Macaca mulatta: one gene and its partners. The protein of the gene in region 2 purifies or fractionates together with the protein of the main gene of each other region. This does not show direct contact. Links are inferred from orthologs where the notes say so. Each region holds a gene or a part of one and is shown on either strand. Other genes may lie near its edges.

Region 1 (5,916 bases), on a different chromosome or scaffold from region 2:
CCATAGAAGTTTAAAACTAAATTTGCAAGAAATCAATTTTAGGAGTCACCATGCCTGGTTGATCATCAGAATTGGAGATTTTTAAAGACTCCTTTTCCCCACCCAGGATGTTCAGGATAAGTATTTGTCAGGCGGACAGGTATCTGACTGTTTTAAGCCTCTCCACGGTGTAGGAATTACAGATCCAATCCTAACCTAAGCACACATCTGTTCCTTGAATCACTCTACTCCATTCCTGCCAAATCGTTCTCCAGCCTCAGCTTTAACACGTCTTGTGATGGCGTTACAGTCGACAGTTCCATACCCTTCACTTTCTGAGACAGCCCATGTTCCAATAGTCGTAACTGTGAAAAATAATTCTTCTTAATATTCTTTCTCTATATCCCTGTCAATGCCCTTAATCTCATGTTATCCAAGTTATTGTTTTTCTCAAATCAGATGAAATAAATAAACACTTGAGTCCCAATTATGTATTAGGCTTTACTCTGAACAGTTTTTTACCATAGCCATTAAAATCTTTACTGACTCCTTAAAAATGACTGTCCACCCACTTTTTTCAGTTTAACAATGGACTTCCATTGCTTGTCAGCCTTTTGACTAAGATCAAGTGTAGTATCTGTTCTTATTACAATAGACTCCCTCGAAAAGGCAATTATAATTAATTAAAATATTAAACTCATACATGGCTGGCCTGCTACCCAGCCGCTACTGGTAAGCAGTCTGCACCCCTGTTTGTGAAGGGTCCTGTCCCTGGGGAGACCAAGCTGGCAGGTGCTTTTTTTCTTCCTCTTGGCCTCTCATCAGCAACCCTGTTTAAACCTTCTTGGATGATTTCAGGAAGATTCCAAAGTAACTCTCCTGGTAAAATTATTCTTTGCCATATGTTCCAGATTTCTTGATGAAAACACGGAAGATAATTTTTTTGAATCTTATTATGGGCCCTCTTAAGAATATCTTTTTTTGTGGCTGGGCACGGTGGCTCACGCCTGTAATCCCAGCATTTTGGGAGGCCAAGGTGGGGAGATCACTTGAGATAAGGAGTTTGAGACCAGCTTGGTCAACATGGCAAAACCCCATCTCTACTAAAAATATAAAAAGTAGCCGGGCATGGCGGTGGGCACCTGTGATCCCAGCTACTCAGGAGGCTGAGGTAGGCGAATCGCTTGAACCCAAGAGGCAGAGGTTGCAGTGAGTGGAGATTGCACCACTGTGCTGTAGCCTGGGCGACAGACTGACATTCCATCTCTCTCTCTCTCTCTCTGTCTCTGTCTGTCTCTGTCTCTCTCTCTCTTTCTCTCTCTCTCTCTATATATATATATTTTTTAATGAATTTTGAATTTGATTTAATACAAATAAATATGTTAATTTGATTAAATTTAGACTTACAGTTTACTCTTCTTTGACGTCAGGTAGTCTTTCAGCCTGCACTTTTGATTATTCTCTAAGTCCCCATAATAGTTTTGAACCTATAGAAAACTGCTTTTCAACAACAGATATTGGCTAATGGGCAATATTGTGATGAAGCAGATGCTAGCATTGCCAAGGCTGCCTATTGCCCCAGTGTTGATGTTTAGCCCTACAGGTGACCGGACTTGCTAGCAGGCCAACGTGAGTAGCCAGTAGGCTATAAATGTGTGCCAGCTGTCCCGACAGTGGCTGAATGGAGTTCCAGTAGGCAGGCTGTGTTTAGAGAAAACCAAGAAGAAAATAACATGTTAACGGGAATAAACCGTTTGGGGTCAAAATAACAGTCCCATGTTTTTGTACTTGTGTGAGATATAAAAAGAAAACTTGAGTGTCAATTAGGCTTAGTATGAACTTCCAAACATTCTTGCCCGTGCTTGTGCACCTCCAAGGAAGTGGCTGGATGAAGGCAAAACTCCCCGAACATCTCACGTCTTCGATTGCTCTGGAAAGCCTTGGTGTCCTTACTGCGGTGTTCGCTCTCTCCTTCCAGAGTTTTATAAATGGACGCTGACATGGACTACGAAAGACCCAACGTTGAAACCATCAAGTGTGTGGTCGTGGGTGACAATGCCGTGGGAAAGACGCGCTTGATCTGTGCCAGGGCGTGCAATACCACGCTCACGCAGTATCAGCTGCTGGCCACCCACGTGCCAACCGTGTGGGCGATTGACCAGTACCGCGTGTGCCAGGAGGTAAGATGCACAGAGTGTCTTTAGCATCCCTAGGGCACATCATTGCTGGTTACCAGTCTGATTTTTTCAAGGAGGAGCGTGGGTAAATTGCACATTCAAAACTAAACTAACCTTTTTAGTGCCACAAAAGAAAACAAAAGTAAAATGCAAACCGGAGACTATGGCTCTGGGTATCCTGAATGAGGGTTGAGACAGGTGGTTCCAAAAAGGGAATTAAGACTTAGCTTAAATCCCATTAGATAGAATAAGGAAACTTAATGCAAGTGAATTGAGGGGCACTGAGGGTGCTGACTTGAACATGCTTCTCCTAGGGAACTTCTTACTGACACTGAGCACAGATGCTGTCTCTCTCTCTCCTGCAGGTCTTGGAGCGTTCTCGGGATGTTGTTGATGAAGTGAGTGTTTCCCTCAGGCTTTGGGATACTTTTGGTGATCATCACAAAGACAGACGCTTTGCATATGGCAGGTAAACCAAGACTAGTACAGTGCGGTTGAGCTTGAGTGCAATTTCCTTTTCAAAACCAGCAGCTGGTTCACAAATCAACAAAAACCACATCATATGGCCTTGAAATGTGTTGGGTTCTGCACTGTGTCTAAGAAAAGAAAAAAGAAAAAAAAAAAGAATGGTATTGTTTCCTGAAGTCAAGAAAAGCAGCATGCCCTGCCAATGAGGAAGTACTGTGTTGAAAACAAGCAGTGGTCAAGCTGGAAGGTTTGCTAGATGAGGATTCTGTAACACCCTCCAACTGCAGGCTGCTTTGATTGCTGGTTCTCTGAGTAACACTTCACTTGCCTTCTGTTAGAATGTTTTATGTTATTTTGGCACTCAGTCACCCTACTTCAGAAGGACTCTTTGGTCTTTTCATGACCATATTGGCAGAGTCTAATGTTATTTGCTTTGGGTTTTGTGTTATCTGAAAAGTCTGTTATTTTTATTAGAAGGTCATTTTTAAAAAGAAAGAAAAACATCCCTGAAGTCCTTTGCAAGACATATTTCCAAAATGAACGGAAACACTAATGTTTATTTTTTATTTTTAAAAAAAGGAGAAAAAAATCTAGTAATGGGAAAACTCCTCTAAAAGGACATTAATATGGGTAGGAAGATGGTCAAAGTGCCTTAAAATATTTAGCAACCTCTGCTTGCCACCATAACTTAACGTCTCTCTCAATGAAAGGGTTATAGCTATTAAAATCTGGATTAGTGGAGACTTTTTTTTTGCCACTTAATTATAAATGAACACATTTCATTTTAAGTGTAGAATGTAGATATCATGGCCTTGTTGTCTCTTCTTAACATTAAACATCATGTTACCTTACAGGATTTTATTAGTTAGGAACTCCAAGCACATGAATTACTCCTTGGTATCGAGATAAGCATTTCTGAAGATTCTTCTATTTCTCCAAGCCAGTAGCTCTCTGAACAGACTTTTATTGTCATTTATCTAAGTGGCCTAAAATAATGAATAAACTGCTGGAAGAGTTTGCCCTATTCCTAGGAATTATTTCACACACTGAAAGAATCTGTGACTTAGACCACTTTTTTCAAGGGGACTCAGAAAGAGAGATATGGAAGCAAAACACAGTTTTAATGTCCGCTTGGTAACAAGGACTTTTGAACTTAATATCCGACATCATAGATAGTTTTCTTTTCCTTGAATTTCCTGGATTTTTTTTTCTTCCTGTAATGTTCTTGATTGTTATCTTAGTTGCCGTTTTGCTTTTTTCTTTTGGCCAATTGTTCTACATGTAAAAATAACAATTATAAATGAACCTGCTTGTAACTGCTGGGCAGTCAGGTTTGTAACCCCTGTGGTTTTGAGGAAGCTTGATTTGATGACTTTAGGCAGTGTGAGGATAAATACAATAGATTTCAAAGGACTTTTTTATATCCCCACTTCTAAAACGGTGTTGTGAAAATGATGAGCCTGATGATGAGTTAATGGAAATATTTGGGTTTAGACTCTAGAAACTATTTCAACAGCTCAGTGATTTGTTGCCACTAGAAATGTATGCATTTGTCAATACCTGTGAAAAAAAAAATACCACAGAAAAAAAGAGAAAACAACAATGAAATGTATTCATTTCAAACAATGAATTTTAACATGACCCCTCAGCGTAAAGCTGGTGCGGTGGTAATAAAAGGGCTGCTTCATTATTTTGTGAGATTCCTGCATAGCATTTATTTAATGGCACAATGGCCTTCGTAGATCCACACTGGGCCCTGTCCAGCTCCCTGACATAGCTGGAGTCATTTTACAATACAACATGCCATACCTGCGTGTGTGTTCCCTCCCAACAAAAATAAGCTGCTCTTTCCTGTGACTCCATCAGTTCAAAGTGCTTTGTTCTGCTCCCTTGTCTGTAACATTTGGTTCTGTCAACTGTAACCCATTATCCCTTTGGTAGAAACAGGAAGTGCTCCCCCAAGCCAACTTTGATTCTCTGAGGAACATAGAGGGGCTTCAGGAACACTCCCGTGTTTCTGGCCACGTTCTCCTTGGGGCCTCACTTTGTGTGCATGTTTGTACCTTGTATTTCCTCTGTCTTTTCCAATTCCTCACAGCCTCCAGGTGTCTTGACACAGACCCCACCTCTAGTTAAAGAACAAAAACCAGAGCTGCTCTTTCTTGCACTCCAGCATCTTTCTGTAAATGCTAAATATGTAAGATCACATTGACGTAATGCCAAAAAAAATTACATTTTTATGGAAAAACCTGAGAGAAGTAGTTCTTTTATTCACTCTAGGTCCCTGACCAGTACATTTCCCTGCTCTGAGAGAGCTGTTTAATTTCTTAATGACTTCAAGTTTTACCTTTATATCATTCGTGAAGGCGAGGAATCATAATTATAGCTTCTGACAATGTTTGTTTTGCAAACCTGTTTTGTGACTGACATTTTTACTATACTTAGTGAGAATTACAATTCAGTGGGATGTACTCAGACATAAACTTTGAGGCATGTGAAATACGTTCCCTATACTTGGAAATGTATTTGAGACCTTTTTAGAATAATTAATTTGATTCTTGTGGTGACAGTGAGAGAAGCCAGATTTAAACCAACATGTCTTAGACCTTGCCTTCGGTTTCCTCTGCTTCATAGCAAAAGATAGTTAATAAGTTGCCCCTCAAACATTCTTTGGCATGGACAAGCCATAGTTTGCAGAGAGGATTCTGTGGGATGAGGAGTTGTCAGTGGTAGGCAGTTGGCCAACTTGAATTTGCAATGTTCCTGATGTGGTATAACCACAGTGTTATTGCTCTCTTATGATTTAAATGGAACTATTCTACCCATTTTTTGCCAATTAGAATAAAATCTTCAATTTATCAAAAACCTGCTGTGTGCCAGTCAACACATTAGGTGTTTTGCCAACATTAGTTAATCCTTTCAGGAACTATAGGAGGCAGAGATGATCTTGGTGCTACCATTGAGTAAAGGGTTGAGTTCTTTTACTACCATAAATTTTCCCAACAACTGAGTCTCAGAGGCAGATTCAAAGTCACTCTGCCTGACTCCTGGCTCTCACTCTTTCCACTGTGCCAAGCTACCTCAACCTACTGGGACCCTACATTGGTGAGCTGGATTTCTATTTGCTCTTTTGGATTTGTGCAAAGATTGGAACTAGAAGAGATTTCAAAAGGTCATCTGGTTGACCCCATGTCTTCAGGAAGGGAAATCATCCATCTATCCAAAAAGAAGTATTGATAGGAGCCCTTCTATTCCATGGAGATGAAGGAAACAGAGTAGCATGAGCATTGTA
Region 2 (6,654 bases):
AGTCACCATGCCTGGCCTTGTGGAGTTATTTTATTTATTTATTTATTTATTTATTTATTTATTTATTTTTGAGACGGAGTCTCACTCTGTCTCGCCCAGGCTGGAGTGCAGTGGTGCGATCTCAGCTCACTGCAGCCTCTCCCTCCCGGGTTCAAGCAATTCTTCTGCCTCAGTCTCCCGAGTAGCTGGGACTACAGGCACATGCCACCACGTCCGGCTAATTTTTGTATTTTCAGTAGAGACAGGGTTTCACCATGTTGGCCAGGCTGGTCTCAAACTCCTGACCTCAAGTGATTGGCCAGCCTCGGCCTCCCAAAGTGCTTGGATTACAGGTGTGAGCCACCATGCCTGGCCTTGTGGGGTTATTTTCGAAAGTCCTTGAGACAGTCCCTATATCAGACATGCAAGCATGAGCCCTTCTGCTTGGTGTTCTCATGACTCCAATTTGTTTGGACTTGACAATGTGATTTTTGTCCTGGTATCTGCAACTTTCACAAGATGGAGCAACTCAACACCAGATTCCATCCCAAATTATTCCTTCATTCACTCAAAAAGTATCTAGGCACCAATGTGTTAGGTACCGTGTTGGTCACAGGGGATACCACGATGAACAAGAGAAGGAAACACAGGCTCCTGAATGCGAGAGTGAGGCATGTGGAAAGCAGACACGGAGAGCTGGGTGTGGTGGCTCATGCCTGTAATCCCAGTGCTTTGGGAGGCCAAGGATGGAGGATCGCTTCTGTCAGGGAGTTGGAGACCAGCCTGGACAACCTAGTGAGACTCCTGTCTCTATCAAAATAAAAAAATAATAATAAAATTAGCTGGGTGTGGTGGGGTGCACCTGTAATCCCAGCTACTCGGGAGGCTGAAATGGGAGGATCACTTGAGCCCGAGAGTTTGAGGGTGCAGTCAGCTGATATCAGGCCACTGCACTTCAGCCTGGGCGACAGAGCGAGACCCTGTCTCAAACAAAACAAAACAAACCACCACCACCAGACAGACATGAGGGCCAGTGCAGCTGTAGCCTGAAGATCAAGGGCTAGAAAAGTAGAGGCCAGACCGGGGCCAGATCAGGCAGGGCCTTGCAGGCTGTGGTTAGTTGTCTGGATTTTATTGTGAGGGAAATAACACGACATGTCATTCATTCTGCAACAGCCTTAAGAACTAGGAGTTCTTATCCCAATTTTACAGACGAGGACGATCAATCAAATCGTTAACTAATTTGTCCAAGGTCACCCGCAGGCGACAGGCGGGGACAGGGTCTGGGAAAACCGGCAGGCACCGAGGCCCAGAGGGCGTCGGGCTTCCCTGCACCGAGTGCCGCCCGCCGCGACCCGGGAACTGCCTGCTCCCCGGACGCCAGGCCCGCCGCTTGCCGCGGAGACACAGAACATGCGCTGCTCGCCTTACGGAAGCCGGGAGGGAAGGGGGCGGGGCCGAGGCTGGCGGGCGCGGGGAAAATGGCGGCGGCGGCGGCGGGTGCAGCTACAAACGGGACCGGAGGGAGCAGCGGGATGGAGGTGGATGCAGCAGGTAACGGGCCGTGCGCGGGCGGCTTCCGGAGACCTCCTTCAGGGGTGCGTTGAGGCCTTGCTGTGCTCCCGGGAGAAGGGAGGAGGGCGGAGCAGCAACATCTTTCTCTGGGATAAGTTGCGGGAGGAAAAGTGTGGCCCGGGCTCCGTCGTCCCCCACTGCTATCTGCAGGGAAGAACGTGGGGCCCGGACTCTCACCCTCTCTCTTTCCCTCCACCCTTAGTAGTTCCCAGCGTGATGGCCTCCGGAGTGACTGGGAGTGTTTCCGTCGCTCTCCATCCCCTTGTCATTCTCAACATCTCCGACCACTGGATCCGCATGCGCTCCCAGGAGGGGCGGCCTGTGCAGGGTGAGTGTTGGGCATAGACTCCAGTCTCCTCTCCTTGCTCACCTCCCCCAGACAGTGGTCTTTTCCCCTTCCTTTACTGGATCCAATTCCCCTCCCCCAAATCATCGTTTCCCCAATACTTGGTTCCCACTCATCTTAGACCCTCAGGTCATAGAAGTCTCTTTAACGTTACCTTTTCCATGTCATTCTCTCCCAGTGATTGGGGCTTTGATTGGCAAGCAGGAGGGCCGAAATATCGAGGTGATGAACTCCTTTGAGCTGCTGTCCCACACCGTGGAAGAGAAGATTATAATTGACAAGGAATATTATTACACCAAGGAGGAGCAGTGTGAGAGTGGAATAGATGTGGGGAAGAGGAGTGGGAGTTAAAAAAAATGTGCAAGGTGGGGAAGATGGAGAGGGTTGGAAAGAAACCCGAGAGGACGCCAAGAACAGAGGAGAAAAAGTGAAGAGAGTAGCTGGAGAGATCTCAGAAAAAGAACACGTTCAGAGTTCTTTCTCAAAAAGAAAGTAAAGGATGAGAGAAGACAGGATAGAAGGGAGTAATTATTCTAAACTGAGCCAGGATTTGAGGAAGGAGGAGAAGCTGGTGAAAATACACCAGGAGTTTCACATTGAGGAAGGATGGTTTAAAGGACTATGTCAGGCCGGACGCAGTGAATCAGGCCTATAATCCCAGCACTTTGGGAGGCCGAGGCGGGTGGATCATGAGGTCAGGAGTTACAGACCAGCCTGGCAAACATAGTGAAACCCCATCTCTACTGAAAATACAAAAATTAGCCTGGCATGGTGGTGCGTGCCTGAAGTCCCAGCTACTCGGGAGGCTGAGGCAGAATTGCTTGAACCTGGGAGGCAGAGGTTGTGGTGAGCCAAGATCGTGCCACTGCACTCTAGCCTAGGCAACAGAGCAAGACTCAAAAAAAAAAAAAAAAAGAATTACTGTGTGTTCTGGCCCTTTCCCCTCCAGTTAAACAGGTGTTCAAGGAGCTGGAGTTTCTGGGTTGGTATACCACAGGGGGGCCACCTGACCCCTCGGACATCCACGTCCATAAGCAGGTATACATGCTCACACCTGTGCATGCTGGGGCAGAGAATGGAGAATGAGGGGAAGGAGAAAGGTGGGGGTCACTGACTTCTGTGCATTGTCCCTCTCTTCCAGGTGTGTGAGATCATTGAGAGCCCCCTCTTTCTGAAGTTGAACCCTATGACCAAGCACACAGATGTGAGTAATACCCCATGCCTACTCTGTCGTGATTGTCACTGTTGTCTTTTACTGTGTGATACTCTTCTATTGGGGAATGCCAGGTGCCACTTACCAGCTGTAACTCTGTCTTAGTCATTTCATCTCCAAACTGTGAAGGGAGGTAATCCCTACTTCACTGGTTTCTTGGGAAGATGAGATGAGAGGAAATGGGTGAAAGCAGCTCGTCCAAATGTTGGCATATAGTGTTCAGGTTTCTCCATCTCCTTCACAGCTTCCTGTCAGCGTTTTTGAGTCTGTCATCGATATAATCAATGGAGAGGTAATACCCTACCCTTGAACCCTCAGATCCTGCTCTTGGCCTCTTTCCTGCTTTTGATTCTCCCTTTGTGGGTTACCTTGCCTTGTAGGCCACAATGCTGTTTGCTGAGCTGACCTACACTCTGGCCACAGAGGAAGCGGAACGCATTGGTGTAGACCACGTAGCCCGAATGACAGCAACAGGCAGTGGAGAGAACTCCACTGGTAATGGAGGGGATTACTTGGAAGTGGGGTTGGAAGGTGTGGCCACATCCCGTCTCAACCTCCTCCTGTCCTCGTCCCTTTGCAGTGGCTGAACACCTGATAGCACAGCACAGCGCCATCAAGATGCTGCACAGCCGCGTCAAGCTCATCTTGGAGTACGTCAAGGCCTCTGAAGCGGGTAGGACAGGGGCTTCCTTGGGCACTTCCCTGGCATTCTTCCTCTCCCTCCTGGGGAAGTGACAGCATCCAAACTAATGCAGCCTCTTTTTGTGCCTTTAGGAGAGGTCCCCTTTAATCATGAGATCCTGCGGGAGGCCTATGCTCTGTGTCACTGCCTCCCGGTGCTCAGCACAGACAAGTTCAAGACAGATTTTTATGATGTGAGTTTAAAACCTGGATGGGGAGGTGGGGCTCATGCTGTCACTTTCACGTGGAGGACCGGGGACTGTTGTTCCCTGGGCATGCCACGAGGGATCCCCTGAGGAATTTGTCCTTTCTGTTCCCTCCCAGCAATGCAACGACGTGGGGCTCATGGCCTACCTCGGCACCATCACGAAAACGTGCAACACCATGAACCAGTTTGTGAACAAGTTCAACGTCCTCTATGATCGACAAGGCATCGGCAGGCGAATGCGCGGGCTCTTCTTCTGAGGAGGGTACTTGAAGGGCTGATGGACAGGGGTCAGGCAACTGTCCCAAAGGGGAGGGCGCTACACTTGAGAGAAACCGCTGTCATTAATAATAAAGGGGAACAGCCCCCGAGCACCCCTGCTGGTGGCTCTGTCCTCTCTGTTAGGCACCACACTGGTTTGTCAACTTGGATGTTCATCGAGGTTCATCGTGAGCCTTGCTCACAAGCCCTTCTGATGCTTTTCCATGAGGGAGGCACTGCCATTTCAAGTGACCCCGTGTCAGTCACATGGACTGTCGTTAGCATCCAAGGCTGCCTGCTTCCACCTAAGCGGTCTCTGTTCTACACTTTAATGTCACCCTTGACGACATCTTATACATAGCCCAGCCCTATAAACGTGACAACTACTTTCCCGAGCGAAATTAACTTTTCACACATGCATAAAACAAGAGATAGTAAGCAGATTTTTATTAGAAACAAGTCCAAGCCTTGATCCTGTGGGCATTGTGAATTACCAGGAGGGAGTTTCTCAATGACCGTTTACTACATATTTTGGAGAGGCAGCTAGGAAGTGGTCTAAAGGTCAGGATTGCTGTATGTGATCACTTGTGCCGATTTTCATCACCCGCTAACCAGAGCTTTAGAGTGGGAGTTGGGAACTAAGTGGTTAAGTAATGACCTGTCTGCTAGAAAAGGGGAAAAACCAAGAGACCCTGCATTTCATACTGGCGCCGTATCCCCAGAGCCTGACTGGCACACAGGCAGTGTAAGACTAAATAAGGGAGTCGGGGGGCTCAAAAAGTGGAGCCCCAGCTCAAGTATCTCCAAACAGCAGGGACCACTTAGTCTTTGCCACATCCCCAGCATCTATACTGGGGCCTGGCAGGGAGATGCAGCTTACTCAGACAATTTACTGAGTCGATGAAATAGGAGCATAAAAAAGGAACAGGTAGGAATCTAAAAAACACAAAAGGCCCAGGCTAGAAGGTGGCAATCTACAAACACTTTATTAGCAGAAGGAATAAGTGCAGCATAGGAGAAAGAGGGGCTCCTCCTTCCCCTCAAGGGCATCACTGCCCCTTCCCAAGGGGCGGGCCAGCAGGGAACAAGAGGACCCCAGGCTTGCAAGCACGCTGGAATCAGACAAAAGTGATCCGTGTCCGGGAAGCATTGACCTGCCAGACATTGAGCTCCTCGTATTCATCCAGAGCCACCTGGAACTGGGCGGGTGTAAAGCCGCGAGATATGCAGCGCTGCTCTGCCTCAGAGAACCGGACGCTTCGGCCCCCTGAGACCAGTTCACGGATGGTGGCAAATACCACATCTGCTGGTCTCTGAGCCCTGAAGGAAATGAGTAGGTGTGTAAGGTCAGGGGACAAACAGGAATGCTCGACATCAACAGAGAACAATGATGGTCAGTGTTAGAATTGAGGCCAGCCTCAGACACATGGACACAAAAGCCAAAGTGACTCAGCTTTGTCCTTCACTAAACCACTCACCTAGCTGTCTGCCCCTTGTCTCCCAGAAGAGAATCCTTTGACATCTCCATTAGCCTGATGGCTTCATTCACATCTTCCTTCTCCACCACGTCCACCATTCGCAGACGCGCCTAAGGGGAAGGTAGGGGACAGATGGGAACGGGAGGAGGGCAGTGGAACAAGGTCAGGGAACACCCTTGTTCTGGCTTTAAGGCTGGGCAGCCCATGGGTCGCCTACTCACAAAACAGGAGAGGAGCCCCCCACCCCCCCCAGCATCCGCAGTGTTGGGCCGGCACTGTCAGACCGAGACAAGTGCAATGCCCAGGGCAGCGTCCAGCAATTGCCCAAGTCTCCGCCTCTCAACACTGGCCAGTCCCGGAGTTCAGCTGTCCTGTGAGGGAGACCAGACCCTTTTGAACTCCACTGGGCTCCCCAGCATGACAGATGGAGCTTGGGGAGCTCAGCCAAGACAACTGGCAGAGAGAACGTGTCCTGGGGGCTCGGGAAGTGCTAGCTCAGCAGTAGGTCGGTTAATCACACTACCTGCACGAACAGCACTTTGGAGCCCCCAGGACTGAGGTCCAAGACGGGAGGACAGAAAGGAAGGTCTGTAGCACAGGATCTAGGACATGGAGTGAAACAGATCCCAACCACCCGCTCAGTGAAGGTTAACAAGTGGGGAAAAGGCCTTTCCCTCCACGGACGCTGTGCGTGCCCTGCTGGAGCAGCAAGTACCCACAGTGCGGTAGCACGGAGAGGACCACTATCTGCACTGTCAGCACTTTAGCCCCAGCAGGGCTGGAGCGGGAGGGACTCGGCGATGAGAGCATGGTAAGGAGCTGCCACTTTAAGGGTCAAAACAGATGGTCCTCCAGCAGTTTGGGCACTTACCAGAGCAGTGGAAAGGCGCAGGATAGCCAGCAGGGTCCGAGCGGA
Region 3 (5,729 bases), on a different chromosome or scaffold from region 2:
GTGTCAGTTTGTTGTACTTATAAACCAATTAGAAAGCTATTTTTTTTTTAAACAGAGTCTCTCTATCACCCAGGCTGGAGTGCAATGGCACGATCTCTGCACACTGCAACCTCTGCCTCCCAAGTTCAAGTGATTACTGTGCCTCAGCCTCCCAAGTAGCTGGAATTACAATCACGCGCCACCATACCCAGCTGATTTTTGTAGTTTTAGTAGAGATGGGGTTTCACCATGTTGGCAAGGCTGGTCTCGAACCCCTGACCTCAGGTGTCTGCCCACCTAGGCTTCCCAAAGTGCTGGGATTACAGGTGTGAGCCACTGTGCCCAGCCAAAAAGTTATATTAATATTTTAATAAATTTTAAACTCACTGAAATTATTTGAAAGATTTTTTAATAGGTTAGAAAATTTTGTTTCCATGTTTTTTAAGTACAGAAAGACGTTAGCAAACCTCTGAAGGATATAAAAGATTTTCACAATCACTCCCCATTGTACTTTATATACTTTTTAAATATATTGTTAAGATCCTATTCAGTAGACCCCATGAACCCACTTAAGCAAGCTGGATAATCGGCAGGTCCAGGAAGGCGCAAGTTCCCCACTGTCAGCCGCTGATTGTGGAACCTCACTCTTACATTATGTATTACAGAAGTCACCAGACTCGGCCTGGTGCGGTGGCTCACACCTGTAATCCCAGCACTTTGGGAGGCCAAGGAGAGTGGATCACGAGGTCAGGAGTTTGAGACCAGCCTGGCCAACATGTTGAAACCCCGTCTCTCCTAAAAATACAAAAAAATTAGCTGGGCATGGTGGTGCATGCCTGTAATCCCAGCTACTTGGGAGGCTCAGACAGGAGAATTGCTTGAACCGGGACCTGGGAGGCAGACATTGCAGTGAGCCAAGATCACGCCACTGCCTTCCAGCCTGGGCTACAGAGTGAGACTCCGTCTTAAAAAAAAAAAAAAAAAAAGAAGACACCAGACTCCTTGTGTACAAACTGAGGGAGGGCATCAGGATTATAGGTACATTAAAATGATGAAGTGTACCAGCCATCCCATTACTGGGTATAAATCATGCTGCTATAAAGACACATGCACACATATGTTTATTGTGGCACTATTCACAATAGCAAAGACTTGGAACCAACCCAGATGTCCATCAATGACAGACTGGATTAAGAGGCACATATACACCATGGAATACCATGCAGCATAAAAAATGATGAGTTCATGTCCTTTGTAGGGACATGGATGCAGCTGGAAACCATCATTCTCAGCAAACTATCGCAAGAACAGAAAACCAAACACCGCATGTTCTCACTCATAGGTGGGAATTGAACAATGAGAACACTTGGACACAGGAGGGGGAACATCACACCCCAGGGCCTGTTGTGGGGTGAGGGGGGAGGGATAGCATTAGGAGATATACCTAATGTAAATGACGAGTTAATGGGTGCAGCACACCAACATGGCACATGACAAACCTGCACGTTGTGCATATGTACCCTAGAACATAAAATATAATTTAAGAAAAAAAGATGAAGTATAAATACTATGAGTAAAATAATAGAAACCGTCTGGGCAACAGAACATGATCCCATCGCCACACACAAAAAAATGAAAAATTAGGGCTGGGTGCAGTGGCTCAAGACTGTAATTCCAGCACTTTGGGAGGCTGAGGTGGGCAGATCACTTGAGACCAGGAGTTGGAGACCAGACTGGCCAACGTGGTGAAACCCTGTCTCTACTAAAAATACAAAAAAATTAGCCAGGTGTGGTGGTGCACACCTGTAATCCCAGCTACTCAGGAGGCTGAGGCACGAAAATTGCTTCAACCTGGGAAGTGGAGGTTTCAGTGAGCTGAGATCCCACCACTGCACTCCAGACCGGGCAACAGAGTGAGAGTCTGTTTAAAACACACACACACACACACACACACACACACACACACAGAGATGCCTAAGGGCTTCATATTATTCTGTAGTTTGCTTCATTTGGTTTAACTTAAATGTAACTTGTCTCTTAAAAATTACAGATCATTGAATATGAGAAAAAACAAACGCTGGGACAGAACGATACCGGCTTTAGTTGTGATGGGACGGCTAACACGTTCAGGGTCATGTTCAAAGAACCCATAGAGATCCTGCCCAATGTGTGCTACACAGCATGTGCAACACTCAAAGTAAGAATCATGCACGATGTTCCAGATGGTTTCCTCTTGAATGTTGCAGAAAGTGTGTTTTAGAAGCTGGGAGTCACTGACAGCTGAGCCATTTATAAAGAGCGGGGAAAAGAAGCTGGTACTTAAAATATTCCACTGCCTTCTGAAAAGAAGTGCTTCTCCCCACAGCTCTGTTCTAAAGGAAATAGGTCTTCCTAAGAAGTAGCCCTTTGTTTCAGTAAGCAGTTGAATGTTTGGCAGAAAATAAAAGTAATTTTTAAAAAATCTTTTCACTATTCTCTAATAGCTGGGCTCTACATTCAGTATTTTTATTCATTAATTAGTTTTTTGGTAAAAACTTCATTTTTTTCTAAATGATATCATAAAATTGTATATAGGAGTGATAGTGTAATGTAATAGAACATTAATTAAAACACCACATTAAATTGAGTGCTTATTAAATGAAAATTACTAAGGAACCTTTTGTTCTCATTTAGGGTCCAGATTCCCACTATGGCACAAAAGGATTGAAGAAAGTAGTGCATGAGACACCTGCTGCAAGCAAGACTGTTTTTTTCTTTTTTAGTTCCCCAGGCAATAATAATGGCACTTCAATAGAAGATGGACAAATTCCAGAAATCATATTTTATACATAATTTAGCATTATACTACATCTTGGCAAAATAGTACCATACAATCTAGTGTCAAAAACATAAATGGCCACAAAAAAGTAGTTTGAGTGTTATGAATATTTATAATCGTAAGATAAGAAACAGTTTCTTAGAGGAGATAGAAAAATGTTTATTTAAATCTTTGCATGATTTAAAAACAGATTTTCCATTTTCTTACAACTTTAGGAGAAAAGAACTGGGTTTAATGGTTAAAAAAAAAAAGCACAGCCTTTTCAGCTTCATCTTGTATAATTTCATAGATTGGCTGACTTAGGGTCTTTCAATAGTTTGGAAATTGAAAGATTCTTGTTATATATAGCTAGTTTGGGTTTGTTTTTAACTATTTTGAAGGTTAATTGAGATGGGCAACTAGGCTTAATTAACTGTTTTGAAGGTTGGATGAAAAGACATGGGTCAGTATTCCTACAGAATTCGTATTAACTAAATTTCAGAAAATTAAGAAGCTGACTTTATATTTGGGGGTTTGAACTATCTAGTTGTTAGCATTTGTAATAATGCTTAAAAAAGGCCTAATAAAATGCCCAAGAAAATTTTCAGTGCATTTACAGAGAAGGATATTTTGTAGTAGTAATGTGTTATGTAGTACAGTTTTAAAGCTATAAATGGAATTTTGTGTAAATTCACAAAAATGTGATATAAACAGGATCTAAGACTGGATTCTCTGTCACTAAACTGCACCACTATACCTGTCTCTCTGTGTGGGGGACACTGCTGATGGTTCCCAAGACTGAGACGATGACGGTGATGACGACTGGGTGAACAGACATCACTTCAACATTGTGAAAATCCTGCACAGCAAGAAACCGAATAAAATACTAACATTTCTAACAACTGCTCTGATATTGTAAAGAGATCCAACAGAATCACTCCTGCTGAAAAATACACTTTCTGCCACCTACACATTTCTATCTAGGAAGTAAAATTTGCTTCATGGTCATGACCCTATTAGTCACTGTTACAGCTGTGTTGGGGATAGGAAGTATATCTGGCAGATTGACATATATATGCTTTTTTATAAAGCAGATTTTTAAAATATAGTAAGATTCATTTTTTCCCTTGAAAGTGATTCTCTTATAAAAAATGTAAGTGGAGTTTAAGGTATATCAAATCGTTGTGGAAGGTGATTAAAAATCAAAATTCTTTTAAGTATCAATTTAATTTTTTCTAAATAATATATAAAAATTTTTCATCCAAAGCAATCTTTCACTTTATATTGTCAAGAAGGTAGGTATATTGGTGGCTGAGGTCTCCTGAAATTGCTAAAGGGAAATTTTTCTGTGGTAATGCTCTTATGGATATAAACCTCAGTTAAATGGAATATCTATGGGATGTGTGGTTCTGGTTAACTAAAAATTAACCAGTAAACACTCTGTAGTAACCATTATACAAAATACTTCTGCCTTAAAAAATATGATATGCCAGAGATGAGTAAGTGTTTCTTGACGGTGGAGACCTTTCAAATGACCTTTCTGTTGAACTGAACAATTGAAACTGCATCAGCCATAGAAAGGACAAGAAACAGAACTGTTTACTAACTTTGGGACATCCCCTGGAATTTTTAAAAATAAATATATATATGTAACCCTTTTTTGTCATTTGCTTTTTCTTCTAAAAGTGAATATAAACAGCATTTTGATTTTTTGTTTGTTTTTTGAGATGGATTCTCGCTCTGTTGCCAAGGCTGGAGGGCAGTGGTGTGATCTCAGCTCACTGCATCTTCCACCTCCTGGATTCAAGCAATTCTGCGGCCTCAGCCTCCAGAGTAGCTGGGATTATAGGCGCCCACCACCATGCCCAGCTAACTTTTGTATTTTTAGTAGGGACGGAGCTTCACTATGTTGGCCAGGCTGGTCTCGAACTGACCTCAGCTGCCTTGGCCTCTCAGAGTGCTGGGATTACGGGCGTGAGCCACCACGCCTGGCTATAAACACCATTTTGGAACAGAGGTTCTAGTTAATTGAGTTTAACTTTATGGGAGTAATGCAATACAAAATACAAATACCTCACTGCTGACTTAAAGCAGTTCATAGGAACTGCAGCGATAACTGCCGCTGCCTTTTGTTTCTTGATCACTTCTTGTGGTCTCAGGTTTTTCTCCCCTGTTCTAATCTCAGGAGGTGGAGGATGAATGTGGGAGAATCCAATAAATAATCTTACTGTTAGAGTGTGACTATCATCTTACAGCTGTTTATTAATAATAACTACCCAAGTGACTACTATGTACTAGGCTCTGCAATAAGTACTTGACTACATTCTTATTTGTTTCTCACAGCATCAGTATGAGGTAAGTACCCATTTCACGGGCAAATTAAAAGGTCAGCTAGGCTGGGCATGGTGGCTCACACCTGTAATCCCAGCACTTTGAGAGGCTGAGACGGAAGGATCACTTGAGGCCACGAGTTCAAGACCAGCCTGGGCAACATAGACCCTGTCTCTGAAAAATAAAATTAGCTGGGTTGTGGTGGCACGTGCCTATAGTTGTAGCTGCTTGGGAGGTTGAGGGGAGGATTGGTTGAGCCCAGGGGTCCAAGATTACAGTGAATTATGATAGCACCACTGCGCTCCAGCCTGGGTGATAAAGCAAGACCCTGTCGGGGCAGGAAAAAAAAAGTTTATCAAGTGGTGGGAGGTGGAATTTAAACCCATTTACAGAGTTGAGAAAATGTTTTGCAGGGTTCAAAAATAACATGTCACCATTCTCAAACTTTGCAGTGAGACCCAAAAAGATATTTGACTATCTACTATAAAATATACTTTCTGTTTTAAGAAAGTGTGATATTCCAGTATCTACCCAACAAATTGAGATTCCTTGCATTATCAGAGTGTTGACAGTAGTACCTATAGTTTTTTTTTTTTTTTAATTATTATTATTATTTTTTGGA
Region 4 (5,916 bases), on a different chromosome or scaffold from region 2:
CGGCAGATCCCGTGTGGAGCTGGCTCAAATGCAGCCCTGACCGCACAGGCCTTCCTGAGCGTGGCCAGGAGTCACCGGGGTCTCAGCCACCAGGCTGGCCCTGCCGTGGGCCCAGAGACCCCCGTGTGACCGCTGAGTGGGGCGGGAGAGTCGGGGAGTTCCCTCTCAGGACCTCAGAGGCCAAGGAAGGAAGAAAAAGATGCTCAGGTCACTGTCGGCAGGGCCTGCTGCTTTAGGCAAAAGGGGCACTGCAGCTGCACTTGGGGGGCAGCAGGGCCCAGGACCCCGAGTGGCAGGCAGAGGTGAGGCGGCCAGGGTCGACCCGGTGAAGCTTCCGGATCACAGCACGCCCTTGGCCACCTGTGGTGGGAGGGGCTGTGTCCCTGGCACCTCCATCCCAAGACACACAGCAGACATGACTCCTGACAGGTGACAGAGCTGGACGTCGCCTGTGCTCTTAGGGAAACTGAGGCTGTTAGTGGAAGGTGCTGGAAGGGCCTATGCCAGCAGGGACGCGGGCAGGCCTTTCTGCAGGCATTCCCCCTGAGGACACCTCTCAAGCGGGTTTGCAGTGGTTTTAGGAGCAGGGAGGCTGAAGCAGCCACAAGACAAAGCTCGGGGCATGAACTCCAGGCACCTCTCAGGTCAGGCAGAGGCCCCTCCGGCAAGACGACCACAGATGACCCGGACAAGAAACCCCGCCCTCTGGGAGTCCGGATCCTCTGCATCTGACCTGCCAGGTTGGAGAGGGAGAAGGTTCTGGGTCTTTTCCAGGATGCTGGACCCCCGAAGCCCACTGGAGGACCTAGTGCTGCTGTCCCCTCTGGCCGCCCTCCACCCCCGACCAGGAGCTCACAGCTCGCAAGCGGCCGTCCAACTGTCCTGGCCCCATGTCCTCCTCTCAGCCTCCCTGGCCTGCACGACCTCCCCAGCTCCCACCCGTTGGGCTGCACAGAGCCCAACTGGGGTCCCCTGAGATCCCCGGCCCTGCTCTGTCTACCTGACATTTCCTTAGAGAGAGACGGAAAGTTCTCTCTTTTTTTTTTGTTTCTTTTTCTTTAGCCAGGCGTGGTGGTGGGGGCCTGTAATCCCAGCTACTCTGGAGGCTGAGGCAGCAGAATCGCTTGAACCCTGGAGGCGGAGGTTGCAGTGAGCTGAGATCATGCCATTGCACTCCAGCCTGGGCAACAAGAGAAACCCGTCTCAAAAAAAAAAATTATTTTACTTTTTTTGAGAGACAGGGTCTCACTCTGTCACTCAGGCTGGAGTGCAGCGGCGCCATCTCCGCTCACTGCAGCCTCAACCTCCTGGGCTCAGGCAATCTTCCTGCTTTGGTGCCCCAGGTAGCTGAGATTACAGACACGCACCACCATGCTTGGCTAATTTATGAAAAATTTTTTTTTTTTTTGAGACGGAGTCTTGCTGTGGCGCCCAGGCTGGAGTGCAGTGGCGCGATCTCGGCTCACTGCAAGCTCCACCTCCCGGGTTCACGCCATTCTCCTGCCTCAGCCTCCGAGTAGCTGGGACTACAGGCGCCCGCCACCACGCCCAGCTAGTTTTTGTATTTTGAGTAGAGACAGGGTTTCACCATGTTAGCCAGGATGGTCTCGATCTCCTGACCTCGTGATCCACCCGCCTTGGCCTCCCAAAGTGCTGGAATTACAGGCTTGAGCCACCGCGCCGGGCCAATTTTTTTTTTTTTTTTTTTTAGTAGAGATGGGGTTTTACCATGTTGGCCAGGCTGGTCTCAAACTCTTCACCTCTGGTGATCTGCCTGTCTCAGCCTCCCAAAGTGCTGGGATTACAGGCATGAACCATTATGCCCAGCCTGTATCTTTTTTCTATTTTTTGTAGAAATGGGGTCTCCCTATGTTGCCTAGGCTGGTCTAGAACTCCCGGCCTCAAGCAATCCTCCCTCCTCGGCCTCCCAAAGTGCTGGGGTTACAGGCATGAGCCACCGCACCCTGCCAATAACTTTTTAAACTATCACAGAAAAGTCCAAGACACATTTTTTTTTCAGGTGGAATCTCGCTTTGTTGCCAGACTGGAGTGCAGTGGCGCAATCTCGGCTCACTACAACCTCCGCCTCCCAGGTTCAAGCGATTCTCCTGCCTCAGCCTCCAGACTAGTTGGGATTACAGGTGTCCGCCACCACTCCAGGCTCATTTTTGTATTTTTAGTAGTGACGAGATTTCGCCATGTTGGCGAGGCTGGTCTGGAACACCTGACCTCAGGTGATCCGCCCGCCTCAGCCTCCCAATGTGCGGGGATTACAGGCGTGAGCCACAGCGCAAGGCACAAAACACATTTTACTACCAGGCAGGATCCTGCTGCCTCCAGGGCCCACCCCGGTCCCGCCTCCAGCCCGTGCCCGCCTCCAGCCCGTGCCCGCCCCCAGCCAGGCCTGGCCCCGCCTCCGCCCCGTGCCGGCCCCGCCCCGTGCCGGCCCCGCCCACCTGCGTGAGCAGCATGAAGGCGTTGTCGGCTCGCAGGTTCTTCTTCAGGAACTCCACGCAGTGGGCCTCCAGCGCTGGCACCGCGTACTTCTTGGCGGTGTATAGCGTGGTCATCACCGTCTCCGGGCCGATCTGCACCTCGTCCGAGTAGAGAAACCTGCAGAGGCAACGCGGGTAGCCATGAGATGGGACCGCCATGCCCGCCCCCAGGGAACAGCGTCAGAGGACCACTCAGACCTGGCCGCCTGCCCTTGAGCCTGCAGGGCCCAAACGCCCCACATCAGGCTCCCCGAGGAACCTTCCAGAATTAGCCCTTGTCTGTTGCCCTCTGACCTAGGGACATGACTTGGCAAGGCAGTCACCCATGAAAACAAGAGGCTGAACCCATCCACACAGCACACACCCGGAAGCGTCTACACGGCCTGTCTCGTTCTTCCCGGGATGCCCCAGGAGAGGGCACTGGGAGCTGGGTGTCTCCTCCTTGGGCGCCTTTTCCATGAGGAACTCTTGGTTCCCCACCTCAGGCCCCACCGAAAACCTCGACCATTTCTGGGTGATCACAGAACCCAACACACTAGTTAGGCTCATGGATAATCATGGACGACATTACTGTATGCCAGCGAGGGGCCCACACCACGCTGAACACGATGCCAGCCAGTGGCCCACACTGAATACAGATCAGAAGTTGGGCCGATCAAAAATAGAAGCAAAGGCCGGGCCTGGTGGCTCGCGCCTGTAATCCCCGCACTTTGGGAGGCTGAGACAGGCAGATCACCTGAGGTCAAGAAGTTCCAGACCAGCCTGGCCAACATGGTGAAACCCCGTCTCTACTAAAAATACAAAAATTAGCTGGGCGTGGTGGCGGGCACCTGTAATCCCAGCTACTCAGGAGGCTGAGGCAAGAGAATCGCTTGAACCCAGGAGGCAGAGGTTGCAGTAAGCCAGGATCAAGCCACTGCACTCCAGCCATGGTGGCAGAGTGCTACTCCAAATAAAAAAAAAAAATTTTTTTTCTCAGGTGGATCACCTGAGGCCAGGAGTTTGAGACCAGCCTGGCCAACATAGAGAAACGCTGTCTCTACTGAAAACATAAAAATGAGCTGGGTGTGGTGGTGAACGCCTGTAATCCTAGGTACTTAGGAGGCTGAGGCAGGAGAATCACTTGAACCAGGAAGGCGGAGGTCGCAGTGAGCTGAGATCACACCACTGCACTCCAGCCTGGGCAACAGAGCGAGATTCCATCTCAAAAAAAAAAAAAAAAAGAAAAAAAAAGGTGCCTCTGGAACCCCTCACTGCACAGGAACACAGTTCTAGAAATCTCCACCAAGCCAGGGCCTCTGAGGTGGTGTCAGACAGGGTCTGCGTTCTCTGAGGTCCCCCTCCCCGCACCCGGCTCCCCAGCAGGAAGCATCCGGAAGCGTTACTTGAGCAGTGCAAGGAAGGCAGCGGGTTCCACGTCGGGCAGCTCGATCTCTGTGGACGTTGTGGCCATTCCCCCGTTGAACATGGCATCAAAGACGGCGCTGCCCACAGCCAGCACGAACCTGGCATGGGAGAGAGGAGGCCCTGGTTAACCCCATGGCCGCCACCCCATGGTGGGGAGGGCCTGCCCGGTATCTTGGATGACCACCCCACCAGGGGTCCCCACCAGCCCCCAGCAGGCATGTGCCAGGCCCCCTGATGGCAGAGGCTTCTGGAAGGGGCCTGGGACAGCAGGAGGGTGATGCAGATGGACCCACGGCAAGGACAGACAGGGCTGGGACCATGCCCTGGACCACACAGGGCCTCACACTCTGCCAGCCCTCACCATCCTCTTTCCTTCCAGGCGTCAGGCACGCATTCACGCATTCCCACATGCATGCATGCATTCATTCACAGATGCGTTCATTCACTCGCTCATTCATTCACATGTTCATTCATTAACTCATTCATTTCCATGTACATTCACTCACTCATACACATACACTCACTCATTCATCCACACATGCATTCATTGACCCACTGATTCATTCCCATGGGCGTGCATTCACACGCTCATTTATGACCCGCATTCATTCATTCACTTTCTCATTCATTCACTTTCTCATTCATCGCACTCATTCGCTCACTCATTCATCCAACACGTGAATTTATTCGCTCATTCACCCATTGACACACACATTCATTCATTCCCACATGCACTCATCCACTTATTCAGCCTCATTATTCACTCACTGATTCACACATTCATCTACTCTCTATCACTTTCCCGCTCACGCATTCCCTCATCGGCACACACTTTCCCAGGGAGTCAGCTACAGGCACAGGGCCTGGCCTGAGGGAGACAGACAAGGACCAAGTGGCCGAACAGCCCCCACGGAGTGAGGGAAGAGAGAGGAGCGTGGTCCTATTCGGAACACAAAGCCCAGGGAAGCCTTGTGGGGTCATCTGAGCCACCACGCCGGTGGGGAAGGGCATCAAGGCCCAGGGAACAGCAGGAGCATGGGAGGAGCGTTAGGAGGCACCAGGGGCAGCCCCAGCTGGGAAAGCAGTGGCTGTGAGGACGCTGTGGGTTCTGCCCCGTGTGGAGCACAGGCTCCCTATGGGACCCACTCAGTGGCTCAGATCCTCCATATCGCAACAGGCAGGAGGGTGTGGTGGGCACAGGAAGGCTGCTGGTGCCTCCCGAGCCTCCACAAGAGCCGGCTATGAAGCCGCATTTGGCCAGGTCTGTATGGGGCGCGGAGGACTCCATGGCTCCCAGGCTCAGGACGCCACTCTATGCTGTGCATGTACGGTCCCCAGGGCCTGCCGCCATGATGGCCTCCCAGGGGGCTGAGACCACACACAGCATAGGGGGTCCCGGACACTCAGCAGGTGCACAGACACTCGCAGGGCGGGTTCATAGACGCTCGCGAAGTCGCGCGGCGGAGCACCTGCCCCAGGACGTGGCGGTCCCTGCGTCACCTCTTCCCCACTTGTCCCCTTCCACGGCTCCCACCACAGCAAACGCCGGCTCTGAACAGCCTCTCCCCGCCCAGAAAGCTCCGGAGCTGCAGGTGGTTCCGCCCGGATGGGACCTGCTTCTCACTCCTGCACCGCTCCACCTCCAGGGCCCTCTGGGCGACCTCCACACAGCGCCCAGGAAAGCCCCCGCCTTCCGGGGAGAAGCTCCCCGCTCTCCTCCCACCACGCGCGCCGCCCCGCAGGCCCTCAGCCCATCCAGTCCAGCCCAGGGCTTGACTGCGCCCGAGAGTAGGGTCAGAAACCAAGGCAGTGGCTTCCGCACGGACCCGGACCACAGAGTCCACATCCGCCCGGAAACTCGGAATGCGACGCCCCGTGGAAATAGGCCCGTGCTAACACCATGAGTCAGGACGAAGGTGCCGGGGAAGGTGGGCCCTAACCAGTGGCTGGTGTCCTTGGAAGGAGGAGACATGGGCCGGGCACGGTGGCCCAGGCCTGTCATCCCAGCATGTGG

The links.
Region 1: the proteins of COPS6 (region 2) and RHOBTB1 purify together in Homo sapiens (affinity purification with mass spectrometry; 4 studies listed by BioGRID and IntAct, counting the BioPlex papers as one, with this or other methods). This does not show direct contact. The link is inferred for Macaca mulatta from reciprocal best matches to the Homo sapiens genes COPS6 and RHOBTB1.
Region 3: the proteins of COPS6 (region 2) and BTBD1 purify together in Homo sapiens (affinity purification with mass spectrometry; 3 studies listed by BioGRID and IntAct, counting the BioPlex papers as one, with this or other methods). This does not show direct contact. The link is inferred for Macaca mulatta from reciprocal best matches to the Homo sapiens genes COPS6 and BTBD1.
Region 4: the proteins of COPS6 (region 2) and BTBD2 purify together in Homo sapiens (affinity purification with mass spectrometry; 4 studies listed by BioGRID and IntAct, counting the BioPlex papers as one, with this or other methods). This does not show direct contact. The link is inferred for Macaca mulatta from reciprocal best matches to the Homo sapiens genes COPS6 and BTBD2.

The regions. Positions count from the first base shown.
Region 1 is NC_133414.1:88,904,248-88,910,163, forward strand, and holds part of RHOBTB1 (rho-related BTB domain-containing protein 1), read left to right. Parts: intron 1-577; exon of another isoform or gene 578-731; intron 732-1,957; 5' UTR 1,958-1,967; coding exon 1,968-2,159; intron 2,160-2,521; coding exon 2,522-2,625; intron 2,626-5,916.
Region 2 is NC_133408.1:47,395,669-47,402,322, forward strand, and holds COPS6 (COP9 signalosome complex subunit 6), read left to right. Parts: upstream 1-1,438; 5' UTR 1,439-1,460; coding exon 1,461-1,533; intron 1,534-1,756; coding exon 1,757-1,882; intron 1,883-2,078; coding exon 2,079-2,210; intron 2,211-2,849; coding exon 2,850-2,938; intron 2,939-3,041; coding exon 3,042-3,104; intron 3,105-3,357; coding exon 3,358-3,405; intron 3,406-3,493; coding exon 3,494-3,608; intron 3,609-3,693; coding exon 3,694-3,786; intron 3,787-3,887; coding exon 3,888-3,988; intron 3,989-4,118; coding exon 4,119-4,259; 3' UTR 4,260-4,378; downstream 4,379-6,654. Other genes in the region: DNA replication licensing factor MCM7, read right to left, coding at 5,379-5,580, 5,739-5,848, 6,610-6,654. UniProt on the Homo sapiens protein: Component of the COP9 signalosome complex (CSN), a complex involved in various cellular and developmental processes.
Region 3 is NC_133412.1:73,727,053-73,732,781, forward strand, and holds the end of BTBD1 (BTB/POZ domain-containing protein 1), read left to right. Parts: exon of another isoform or gene 1-190; intron 191-692; exon of another isoform or gene 693-972; intron 973-2,029; coding exon 2,030-2,176; intron 2,177-2,652; coding exon 2,653-2,811; 3' UTR 2,812-4,429; downstream 4,430-5,729.
Region 4 is NC_133424.1:2,712,796-2,718,711, forward strand, and holds part of BTBD2 (BTB/POZ domain-containing protein 2), read right to left. Parts: intron 4,001-5,916; coding exon 3,881-4,000; intron 2,614-3,880; coding exon 2,457-2,613; intron 1,181-2,456; coding exon 1,001-1,180; intron 1-1,000.